2 linked regions of the Arabidopsis thaliana genome follow. The protein of the gene in region 1 purifies or fractionates together with the protein of each later gene. This does not show direct contact. Each region holds a gene or a part of one and is shown in the gene's direction. Other genes may lie near its edges.

Region 1 (6,858 bases):
ATGAACCAAAAACCCTTAAAAAAACATATAGCAAATAGTGTCCATTTAGTCAAAGGTTATTTCGTTGATTCTTTTCGAGTCTTAGGTTAGTTTCTATATATTCTCTAAATTTTATAATTTTCTTTTCGATTCTAGTGAGAGCTGTTGCTAAAGCTAAAAAGAGAAAAAGATATTTAAGTAAAGTTTTCTATTAAACATTATATATTTTACTATCCATATCAAATCATGGAACATTCATAGCCACCCAAAACATTTTGAGTGCCACCAGCAAAAAAGGCCTAATCATATCAAAAAAAAAACATTTTTGTAAGTGTAAGAGTTGAACCTACTACCTATTGTTCTATCACCCAACGATTAACCAGTATAGTTATAAGAGATATTTGGAAAATAGATGACGGTTAATTAATAACTATATCTTATACCGTAAACACATGCTTCCCTAGCTTGTGACTAAGGCAGATTCTGGTAACAACTCATATTTTATGCATAAGATAAAGCTCACATAGACCTTGTTCAAAAGCATTACATATCCAACGATTTACAATAACTCTATCATTTACATTTCCAAATGTTATATATTTTAGTGTTTGTTTGATTTAATGGAAAAAAAAACAGTTTTGCATTAACTTTGTAAGGGATACAACAATTAAAAAAAGAGTCAGAAATAAAATAGAAAAATAATATAAACAAAAATAGAGAAATCTACTAAAGAAAACTAGATATTTGATCTTCCAACATATTAAACAGAAAAATAAAAAACTAAAGAGAAAAAAAATTAGAAATGGAGTAAAGAAAATACAGCAATTCACCGTTACCCTTAACTACTTTTTAAAATATTAAATGATATTTTCTTTTAGAATCTTGAAATAAAAATAAAAGTTTCTTTTTTGATATCAAAACCATATTAAAAACTCATCTTTTACTAATTTTAGTATAATAATTAAAAAACAAACTAAGTAAATGTTTTTGTTTTGTGCAAACTAAATGTTAAGTTCATGAATTTGTGTAAGATATTTTCCCTATAAACCTATCTCAATGTGGACCCAATAGGCCACCATGCACACAACTTGGCTTTTACTCTTTGTGTCAGTAAAATCTAAAGATAGTAAAGACAGACCAAATCGCAGCCGTTTATTTCCCATATAAAGAAGTACGTACATGGAAATGACAATAATACCCTCACTCCTTAAACCCTCCTCTTCTCTCACTTTATTTTTCAGTCTCTCTTTATTTCTCTCTATCACTTTTTATCGATTCTGCGCAAATTCATGCAAAAAGGGAAAATAAAAAGTTCTACACTGTCCCCAAGATTCTGCGTGAGTGTGGTATTGAATTCTTCGCCGTCCCTTTTCTATTTATCATATTTTGTTCCTTCTCTTATTTTCCTCTTAGTGTCAATCATGGACTAGAATCAACTCTCTTTTTCCCTCAAAGGTGATATATTGATTTTGTGTTCTGATCATAAAGTTGTGGTTTTTTCAATCTGGGTTTTGTTTGTTGTTGATGACGATCATGTTTCGTTTTTCATTTTGATACGACACTGTTACTCTGTTTTACACCTTTTTAGTACAATAATGTTGCTTTCGCACATTAACCAATATGATCAAGTTTTAAAGTTCATATATCATATATGTTCTGGGTTGTCTCTAGTTGCAGATAAAGTTTGAATCTTTTTTTTATTTGTCAAGTGGTGAATGAATCCTAATGAAGCTATACATGTATTGGTTACAGGAGATCATATGTGGATCCACAAGTGATCTTGAAGGGAAAGAAAAAAATGAAGAGAAAGCATTACTTTGAGTTTAACCATCCATTTAATCCATGTCGTAAGTGTTTTACAAGATCTGATGTTTTATTTTCTTACCTAAAATGTCATGCATTGAGATTTGAATGACTGCTGTTTCTTTACCTAAAATGCTCTGTTTTGTCTGTTGTGGTAGCTTTCGAGGTGTTCTGCTGGGGGACATGGAAGGCCGTGGAGTACTTAAGGATCGAGAATGGAACGATGACAATGCGTCTCTTAGAAAATGGACAAGTTTTGGATGATATAAAACCATTTCAGAGGCTTCGAATTAGATCAAGAAAGGCGACTTTGATCGACTGTACTTCTTTTTTAAGACCCGGTATCGATGTTTGCGTTCTTTATCAGAGAGATGAAGAGACTCCAGAACCAGTACATTCACTTTCTTCAATATGAAAGTCTTTAAATCTATGCGCATTTTTGCTGTTTTGAAACGTTTTGTGTGTGTGTGTGTGTGTGGTGGTGTAGGTTTGGGTGGATGCAAGGGTTTTATCTATAGAGAGGAAGCCTCATGAATCTGAATGCTTGTGTACGTTCCATGTCAGTGTTTATATAGACCAAGGCTGCATTGGTTTGGAGAAGCATAGAATGAATAAAGTTCCGGTACTCGTGGGACTCAACGAAATCGCCATCCTTCAAAAGTTTTGCAAGGAACAAAGCTTGGACCGTTACTATAGATGGAGATACTCTGAGGACTGTTCTTCGTTGGTGAAAACAAGACTAAACTTAGGGAAGTTCTTGCCTGATCTTACATGGTTGCTTGTTACATCAGTTTTGAAAAACATTGTGTTTCAGATTAGAACCGTTCACGAGAAGATGGTTTATCAGATTGTGACGGATGAAGATTGCGAAGGCTCTAGTAGCTCTTTGAGTGCAATGAACATTACGGTTGAAGACGGTGTTGTCATGTCTAAGGTTGTTTTGTTCAATCCAGCTGAGGATACTTGTCAAGATAGTGATGTAAAGGAGGAGATTGAAGAGGAGGTAATGGAGCTGCGTCGGTCCAAGAGAAGAAGCGGGCGGCCTGAGAGATACGGAGACTCTGAGATTCAGCCGGATTCGAAGGATGGATGGGTAAGGATGATGCCATATAGGTACAACATATGGAATGTTTCAAGTGATGATGATGATGAAGAAGAAGATTGCGAGGATGATAAAGATACTGATGATGATTTATACTTACCGTTATCGCATTTACTTAGAAAGAAAGGAAGCAAAAAGGGATTTAGTAAGGATAAGCAGAGAGAGATAGTTTTGGTAGACAAAACTGAGAGGAAGAAGAGAAAGAAAACAGAGGGATTTAGTCGAAGTTGTGAGCTTTCGGTTATTCCTTTCACTCCTGTCTTTGAACCTATACCGTTGGAACAGTTTGGTCTCAATGCAAATAGTTTGTGTGGTGGTGTCTCTGGAAATTTGATGGATGAGATCGATAAGTATCGTAGTAAAGCAGCGAAATACGGGAAGAAGAAGAAGAAGAAGATTGAAATGGAAGAGATGGAATCTGATCTAGGTTGGAATGGACCTATTGGGAATGTGGTTCATAAAAGAAATGGACCGCATTCTCGAATAAGGTCCGTTTCTAGGGAAACCGGAGTTTCTGAGGAACCGCAGATTTATAAGAAGAGAACGTTGAGCGCAGGTGCGTATAACAAGTTGATAGACTCGTACATGAGTAGAATTGATTCTACAATTGCAGCCAAGGACAAAGCAACCAATGTTGTTGAGCAGTGGCAAGGGTTAAAGAACCCCGCAAGCTTTTCGATCGAAGCCGAAGAAAGGTTGAGTGAGGAGGAGGAGGATGATGGCGAGACTTCAGAGAATGAGATTCTATGGAGGGAAATGGAACTATGCTTGGCTTCTTCTTACATTCTTGATGACCATGAGGTTATATATATATATACCTTTTGGAAATCTTTTTATATTTTCCTGAAAACATTCTTGATGACCATGAGCTTACATTTTTATATGTTTAATAGTTTGATTTGAAGTTTCAGGTGAGAGTGGATAACGAGGCGTTCCATAAAGCAACCTGTGATTGTGAACATGACTATGAATTGAATGAAGAAATCGGAATGTGTTGCAGATTGTGTGGTCATGTAGGAACTGAGATAAAACATGTTTCTGCACCTTTTGTAAGTGGAAACTCTATACCAGACAACATTTTGTCACCTACTTTCGATGAGTTACTTGTAATATATTTTGGTGGTATGGTTTTCGATAGGCGCGGCACAAGAAATGGACGACGGAGACTAAGCAAATCAACGAAGATGACATTAATACTACTATAGTTAACCAAGATGGAGTTGAGAGCCATACTTTCACTATACCAGTTGCTTCCTCAGATATGCCATCGGCTGAAGAAAGTGACAATGTCTGGTCTTTAATACCTCAGCTTAAGAGAAAACTGCATTTGCACCAGAAAAAAGCTTTTGAGTTTCTCTGGAAGAACCTAGCCGGGTCAGTGGTTCCCGCGATGATGGATCCGAGTTCAGATAAGATAGGTGGGTGTGTAGTTTCTCATACTCCCGGAGCAGGAAAAACATTTCTAATCATAGCTTTTCTCGCGAGCTACTTGAAGATATTTCCGGGTAAAAGACCTTTGGTTCTTGCTCCAAAAACAACTTTGTACACTTGGTACAAGGAGTTCATCAAATGGGAGATTCCGGTCCCTGTTCACTTGCTCCATGGTCGTAGAACCTACTGTATGTCCAAAGAGAAGACCATTCAGTTCGAGGGAATTCCAAAACCAAGCCAAGATGTTATGCATGTTCTTGACTGTTTAGACAAAATCCAGAAATGGCATGCACAGCCGAGTGTTCTTGTAATGGGTTACACATCGTTTCTAACTTTGATGAGGGAAGATTCAAAGTTTGCTCATAGAAAGTACATGGCTAAAGTACTGAGAGAGTCTCCTGGATTACTGGTTCTAGACGAGGGACATAACCCGAGGAGTACCAAGTCGAGATTACGAAAGGCCTTGATGAAAGTTGATACTGACTTGAGGATTCTGCTTTCTGGTACATTGTTTCAGAACAACTTCTGTGAGTACTTCAACACTTTGTGCTTGGCTAGACCCAAGTTTGTTCATGAGGTTCTAGTGGAGTTGGACAAGAAGTTCCAGACCAACCAAGCCGAGCAAAAGGCGCCTCACTTGCTTGAAAATAGAGCTCGGAAGTTCTTCCTTGACATTATAGCCAAGAAGATTGACACAAAAGTGGGCGATGAGCGCTTGCAGGGTCTCAACATGTTGAGGAATATGACGAGTGGTTTCATCGATAACTATGAAGGGAGTGGAAGCGGAAGTGGTGATGTTCTCCCAGGTTTGCAGATTTACACATTGTTGATGAATTCCACTGATGTACAGCACAAGAGTCTTACCAAACTTCAGAACATAATGTCAACTTACCATGGATATCCACTCGAGCTCGAGTTACTCATAACGTTAGCTGCTATCCATCCTTGGTTGGTCAAAACCACAACCTGTTGCGCCAAATTCTTCAACCCTCAGGAGCTTTTAGAGATTGAGAAGCTCAAGCACGATGCAAAGAAAGGATCAAAAGTCATGTTTGTGCTTAATCTTGTGTTCCGGGTGGTCAAGAGGGAGAAAATCCTCATATTTTGTCACAACATTGCGCCGATCCGCCTGTTTCTTGAGCTGTTCGAGAATGTATTCAGGTGGAAGAGAGGCCGAGAGCTCCTGACCTTGACAGGGGATCTCGAGCTGTTTGAAAGAGGCAGAGTAATAGACAAATTTGAAGAGCCAGGAGGCCAGTCCCGTGTTCTGCTGGCTTCGATTACAGCCTGTGCAGAAGGCATCAGTCTAACCGCTGCTTCACGGGTGATCATGCTTGATTCAGAGTGGAATCCTTCTAAGACAAAGCAAGCAATCGCACGTGCATTCAGACCGGGACAGCAGAAAGTGGTGTACGTTTACCAGCTCTTGTCGAGAGGAACACTTGAAGAAGACAAATACAGGAGGACGACCTGGAAAGAATGGGTCTCCAGTATGATTTTCAGTGAAGAATTTGTGGAGGACCCATCTCAATGGCAAGCTGAGAAGATTGAGGACGATGTTCTTAGAGAAATCGTGGAGGAAGACAAAGTCAAATCCTTCCATATGATCATGAAGAACGAGAAAGCTTCAACAGGTGGCTGATTGCTGAATTTTTCCAGTTCAAGTTTCTGTTTCACCATGCCTTTGATGATGATTCTTTAACAGCTTGTTGTATTGTAATATAAACTAATCCTGTATCATAAGTTTGTGTAATCATTCAGCTATAGCATCATAATATTTAATAAAGTGAAACAGATGTATTCATCATAATCTTGTTAAATAAAACAAAACCTCCAAATAAGATCATTAAACAGTTGATTTGAGGAACGGGTTTGAAGAACGTCGAGCTTCTCCTTGATTCACTTCCTTTTCCTGTCCCTTGTCTTCCTTGTTAACATTGTTCACCGGATTCTTCAAATTCAATTTCTTTATCTCTTTTATCTTCGCATCGTCACTTTTGTCTTTCTTTGTTTGTTCTTTTCCCAGCTTTAGACCTTCTGAAACTTTCGATTTCTTTAGAAGTGTAGGAGCAGATAGCTTAGTTGCAGAAGATTTCATAACTGCTTCTGTGTTTTCACTAGTCTGAATCGAAGCTGGAGGATTCTGGACCTTGGATTCAACTCTTGTAACTACTTCTCCGTTTGGATTCAGCGCAGGATTTGTTACCGCCGCCTCGCTAGCTTCTTCAAGCAACCTTTCCTGTTAGTGAAGAACCAAAAAATTAGCATTACGTCTGTATCTAATTTTTCTTCTCTTTTGTGCAAAATATAAGAAATGAAAGTACTTGTAGAGTACCTCGAGTATGCTGCTGAATTTCTCTGCCAAAAAAGGAAGCTTGAGTTTGGTAACCAGTGTTATTGCAGCTCTCATTGATTTTTCTAGAGTTAAAAGCTCCATAAGTTCACTGGCCCTTGCAAAACTATCACCTGAAAGATGTAAAGAATCTTGTTGTAAAAATCTGGACAGTAATGGTCTTAGAATATGAGTTCACACACAACACAAG
Region 2 (4,883 bases), on another chromosome or scaffold:
GTTTATAAGGTTAATAAGAAAATTTACTGGGACATTTTTAAGTCTAGTTTATTCTACTACATGTTTTTCAAAACAAATACTCATTTTGTTTTAATTTAATTATCATTTTAGCACTTAAATTTAATCTCACAATAATTATCGTTTTTAGTTTTTTAATGCAAATGTTTAATAAAAATGTGAGTATTAATGTCTTGACCAATAATTTTTTTAGAAACTATATTGAACAAGGGTAAAGTAGAAAATTTAATTGTTTTTTTTTATTTTCACTGCAAAAAATCTTAAACGACAAATAATTTTAAACAAAACTATTTTAATAACTAACCACTAAACTAACTATATAACTGTTTTACAAACGAAAGCGTGAACTTCACGTAAACAAAAATTCAATTTCACGCCGCCGACAAAAAACCTTAAACGACAACTAATTTTAAATAGAAGGAGTATATTTTAGTAATAATTATATGTTAAACTGTTTTAATAAATAACCACTAAACTAACTATGTAACTGTTTTACAAACGAAAGCGTGAACTTCACGTAAACAAGAATCTAATTTCACGTCGCCGACAAGAAAAACTGATTTCACTTATATATCTTGATTTATTAATGGACATTCACATACTCTCAAATAAGATTCTAGATCTTATAAATTTTAATCTATTTTTGTCTCAATTAATTTAGTTATTTATCACATTTCGCCTCTTATAAAATTATATGATAATTGTCTAAGCAGCTAACTAATTGTAATTGTTTTTCAAACAAAAAATATATTTTAATTACACATAATTTTTTTATCGAACAAAAATATATTTTAACGAAATATAAATGTTTCGAATCAAAGATAACAAATTTATAGCCTCAACTATACGTAAAACAAAATTTTATTTTACATATCATACTTTGATTGATACTAACACAAACTTCACAAATAAATTCGTATAATTATGTAATTTTAGATTATTTAGAGATTATAACTAGTATTTAGAAAAATCGCAAAATCATATAAGAAAAGAAATGGAATTTGTTTTTGGTTCAAATTATATTTTTTTTTCCCGCTATTCATATTATAGTTATGAACCAAAAATCAAGCTAGAAATAAAAACCACTAGGATTTTTTTTTTTTGCTAAGATGAAAATTTAGTTATACACTTATTTTTATTTATTTAAATATTACATTAAACTAATAAAAAGTATTAATTATTCTAATAACTTTTTGTCAGTTTTAAAATTAGGCCAAAAGTAAAAAACTAATACAGCTAATATAATATACTTAAGGAAGGATATTTCAACTTTTTCTTTTCTTCCCAGTTTCAGAGTTTATACAAATAAGGTAAAATTCGCAGAAACAGAAAATCATAAAGTAATTAAAATAATACAACCGAGGAAGTAAAAAGATTTCCAAAAGGTAAAAGGTGTACTCGTAAAGTAGGTAAATAGAGGTACAGGTCAAGGGGTAGTTTCGGTATTTACACTCTTTCTTCTTCTTTTTTTTTTTTTTTTGGTGTCTCACATTCCAAAGTCCCCATTGGACTTAGAGAAGAGTTTTTTTTTCGTTTTCTCTGCTTTCTCACTTTTTCCCGTTTCCTTTGGGAATACAAACGGCGGCTTCTCAAAAGCCTCCGATTTCGATTTTTTTTTCCTCTCTTTTTTTTTGTTCTTTCTTTAGAGTCTCTTCTTCAACTTCTTCTCCGGCATCTTCCGTCGGAGCTAAGGATCAGAAGTTTTTGTCTGTGCACTGTTTCAATTGGATCATTACATAGTGAGGATTCTCTGTTCGACGAAACGAGTAAGTAACTACATTGTTGTTCTTCCTCAATTCTCTTCTGGTTTTTCTTTCGTTTTTTTTTTTAAAACCTTTTTCGGTAATTTTCTTTTTATCTCTTTGAAACAATTTGAGTTCTTTTTTTTTTTGATTGATCACTGTGTCTGATTCCTTATCACGGTTCTTTTGTTTAAATTTGATCGATCGTTGTCTTTGAACTCCGATTTTGTTTCTATGAACTTTGTTTACTTTGGATGATTGTGAAAAGTTAAGTACTTTGGTTTATGCATGTTCTTATGAGAAATCGATTTCTTTCGTTTAGAGATCATCTTAAGGCGGCGAATGTTTTTGCACTAAGGGTTTGTGTGAGTCCTTTAGAAGAACATTTGGAAAATTTGTCCTTTTTTTTTTTTGGTCAGTGAATTTTTTTTTTTTTAATCCATGAATAGTGTATGTTCAAAGATTGAACCTTTTTGTGTGTATGTTCTGCAGTTTTTTTTCTTTCTTCTTTTTCTGAACATGTATTCTCTTATTTTTTTGGGTTCATGCTAGATTCTATTAGTAAATTCAATTTCGAATCTATAACTTGTTTTTGATAGGCCAGTCACAGAGGAAGATTGTGGTAACACTTTTGTCCCTTAACAAAAGTGTCTGTTTCTCTTTGGTCAATTTTTTGATCAGAGAGAGTTTGCTTTGGTTTTTGTGTTCTGGTCAATGAAATGCTAAAGATTGGTTTTTGTTTCATATTCTGCTGCACATTAGATTTGATGATAGAGGGTACAGATAGAAACTGATCTTTTCGACGATTTATCCGTGAGTTTTAGCTCTGTTTTATGTTACAGAAGTAAGTGTTAATTTTCAATAATGTGTGTTCAAAGTTTGAACTATTTTGTGTGTTCGTCAAATATTTTTGAGCTAGAATCTTCTTCCCTGAACATGTTCTCTCTTTTCTTTGGATATATGCTAGATTCTAAGTGGCCACTCACAGAGATAGTTTGTGAAGTTGTCTGTTTCTCAGTGGTTAGTATTGGTCAGAGCGAGTTTTTTGGTTTTGTCTGTCTAAATGCTAAATATTGGTTTTGTTTCATATTCTGCACATTGGAATTGGTCACTAAAACTTGCTTATAAAAACTGATGTTTTTACTTACGTATCTAAATTTTCCTTACTGATGGTTTTTTTTCTTGTAGGAAACTCTTCAACATGGAAGACGATTGTGAGGAGCTTCAGGTTCCCGTGGGAACTCTAACCTCGATAGGTTTTAGCATTTCAAACAACAATGATCGAGTAAGTGTTGTCCTTATTTATTCTTCTTGATTTGTTTATGAGTAGATGGAGCAAATATTTAATGTAATGGTACTTTATTATAGGATAAAATGTCTGTGCTAGAGGTTGAAGCACCGAATCAGGTGACTGATTCTCGGCTAGGATTACCGAATCCGGATTCTGTCTGCAGAACCTGTGGCAGCAAAGATCGAAAAGTTTGCGAAGGTATCATAAAGAATCTGGTTTTGGCAAATATTGTTCCAATCTTTTAGCTCATTTTATGATTAGTTCCCTGAGTTTGCTACTTTTCTCTCTGTTTTAGGGCATTTCGGGGTTATAAACTTCGCGTACTCGATAATAAACCCGTATTTCCTCAAGGAGGTAGCTGCGTTGTTAAACAAAATCTGTCCGGGGTGTAAATACATTCGAAAAAAGCAGTTTCAGGTTCACTAGTCTTTCCAAATCCTTTGTTGGTTTGTGTGTTTTGGAACTACATATACTAATGTCATTTTTGCTTGATATAGATTACCGAAGACCAGCCTGAGAGATGTAGATACTGCACTGTAAGAATATATGATTGCAACTAATTTTCTCAGTTTAAAACTTTGTTCCAACACTAATTTTCGGTTTTTGTTGTTGTTATATATCAGTTGAATACCGGTTATCCTCTAATGAAGTTTAGGGTAACTACTAAAGAAGTCTTCAGGCGATCCGGAATCGTTGTTGAAGTAAACGAAGAGAGTCTGATGAAACTCAAGAAACGGGGAGTGTTAACATTGCCTCCTGACTATTGGAGTTTTTTGCCGCAAGACTCTAATATCGACGAGAGCTGTTTGAAACCAACAAGGCGAATAATAACGCATGCACAGGTATAGAAGAGTGAAATGTACCATCTCCATGACTTCTTACTATATATAGTTTTCTGAAAATTTCACCTTTTTGCAGGTTTATGCTCTGTTATTAGGGATTGATCAGAGGCTCATCAAGAAGGATATCCCTATGTTCAACTCTCTTGGTCTGACATCTTTTCCTGTTACACCAAATGGTTACCGTGTAACCGAAATAGTTCATCAGTTCAACGGAGCTCGGCTAATATTTGTAAGCTAAAAACGCTTGTTTATATAATTTGTTATCATATACTATGGTATTTCTCTTATCTTTTCGAGTTTCTGTCACATTTTTGAAGGATGAACGGACTCGGATCTACAAGAAACTAGTCGGCTTTGAGGGAAACACACTTGAATTGAGTTCTCGTGTGATGGAATGCATGCAATATTCCAGAGTAAGTTAGTGGTTCCTGATAGATTTAAACTCTTCTTTCTGTTCTGTGAAGGTTAGTAGTATTTCTTGTTTTTTGCACAGCTCTTTTCGGAAACTGTGTCTTCGAGTAAAGATTCCGCAAATCCGTACCAGAAGAAGTCTGATACACCAAAACTTTGCGGTCTAAGGTTCATGAAAGACGTGCTGCTCGGTAAAAGAAGTGATCATACATTCCGGACAGTAGTTGTTGGTGATCCGTCCTTGAAGCTCAACGAGATTGGCATACCCGAGAGTATCGCAAAAAGGCTTCAAGTATCAGAGCATCTCAACCAGTGCAATAAAGAAAGGCTTGTCACTTCCTTTGTCCCCACACTGTTGGACAATAAAGAGATGCATGTGAGAAGAGGAGATAGATTGGTGGCTATTCAAGTCAATGACCTCCAAACCGGAGACAAAATATTCCGGAGTTTAATGGATGGAGACACTGTGCTGATGAACAGACCGCCTTCGATTCATCAGCATTCGCTTATTGCAATGACAGTTAGAATCCTCCCAACGACTTCTGTTGTCTCCTTGAACCCGATCTGCTGTTTGCCGTT

The links.
Region 2: the proteins of CHR38 (region 1) and NRPD1A purify together in Arabidopsis thaliana (affinity purification with mass spectrometry; 2 studies listed by BioGRID, with this or other methods). This does not show direct contact.

What each region holds. Positions count from the first base shown.
Region 1 is NC_003074.8:14,755,005-14,761,862, reverse strand, and holds CHR38 (chromatin remodeling 38), read left to right. Parts: upstream 1-1,777; coding exon 1,778-1,826; intron 1,827-1,940; coding exon 1,941-2,173; intron 2,174-2,269; coding exon 2,270-3,685; intron 3,686-3,789; coding exon 3,790-3,933; intron 3,934-4,022; coding exon 4,023-5,957; 3' UTR 5,958-6,065; downstream 6,066-6,858. Other genes in the region: AT3G42660 (transducin family protein / WD-40 repeat family protein), read right to left, coding at 6,162-6,554, 6,651-6,781. UniProt on the Arabidopsis thaliana protein: Probable chromatin remodeling factor. Required for the initial establishment of DNA methylation and for accumulation of 24-nt siRNAs.
Region 2 is NC_003070.9:23,359,205-23,364,087, reverse strand, and holds the start of NRPD1A (nuclear RNA polymerase D1A), read left to right. Parts: upstream 1-1,600; 5' UTR 1,601-1,651; exon of another isoform or gene 1,652-1,784; intron 1,785-1,895; 5' UTR 1,896-1,940; intron 1,941-2,948; 5' UTR 2,949-2,961; coding exon 2,962-3,045; intron 3,046-3,128; coding exon 3,129-3,249; intron 3,250-3,346; coding exon 3,347-3,468; intron 3,469-3,548; coding exon 3,549-3,587; intron 3,588-3,674; coding exon 3,675-3,893; intron 3,894-3,969; coding exon 3,970-4,122; intron 4,123-4,210; coding exon 4,211-4,306; intron 4,307-4,356; exon of another isoform or gene 4,357-4,386; coding exon 4,387-4,883. UniProt on the Arabidopsis thaliana protein: DNA-dependent RNA polymerase catalyzes the transcription of DNA into RNA using the four ribonucleoside triphosphates as substrates. Largest and catalytic component of RNA polymerase IV which mediates 24-nt short-interfering RNAs (siRNA) accumulation.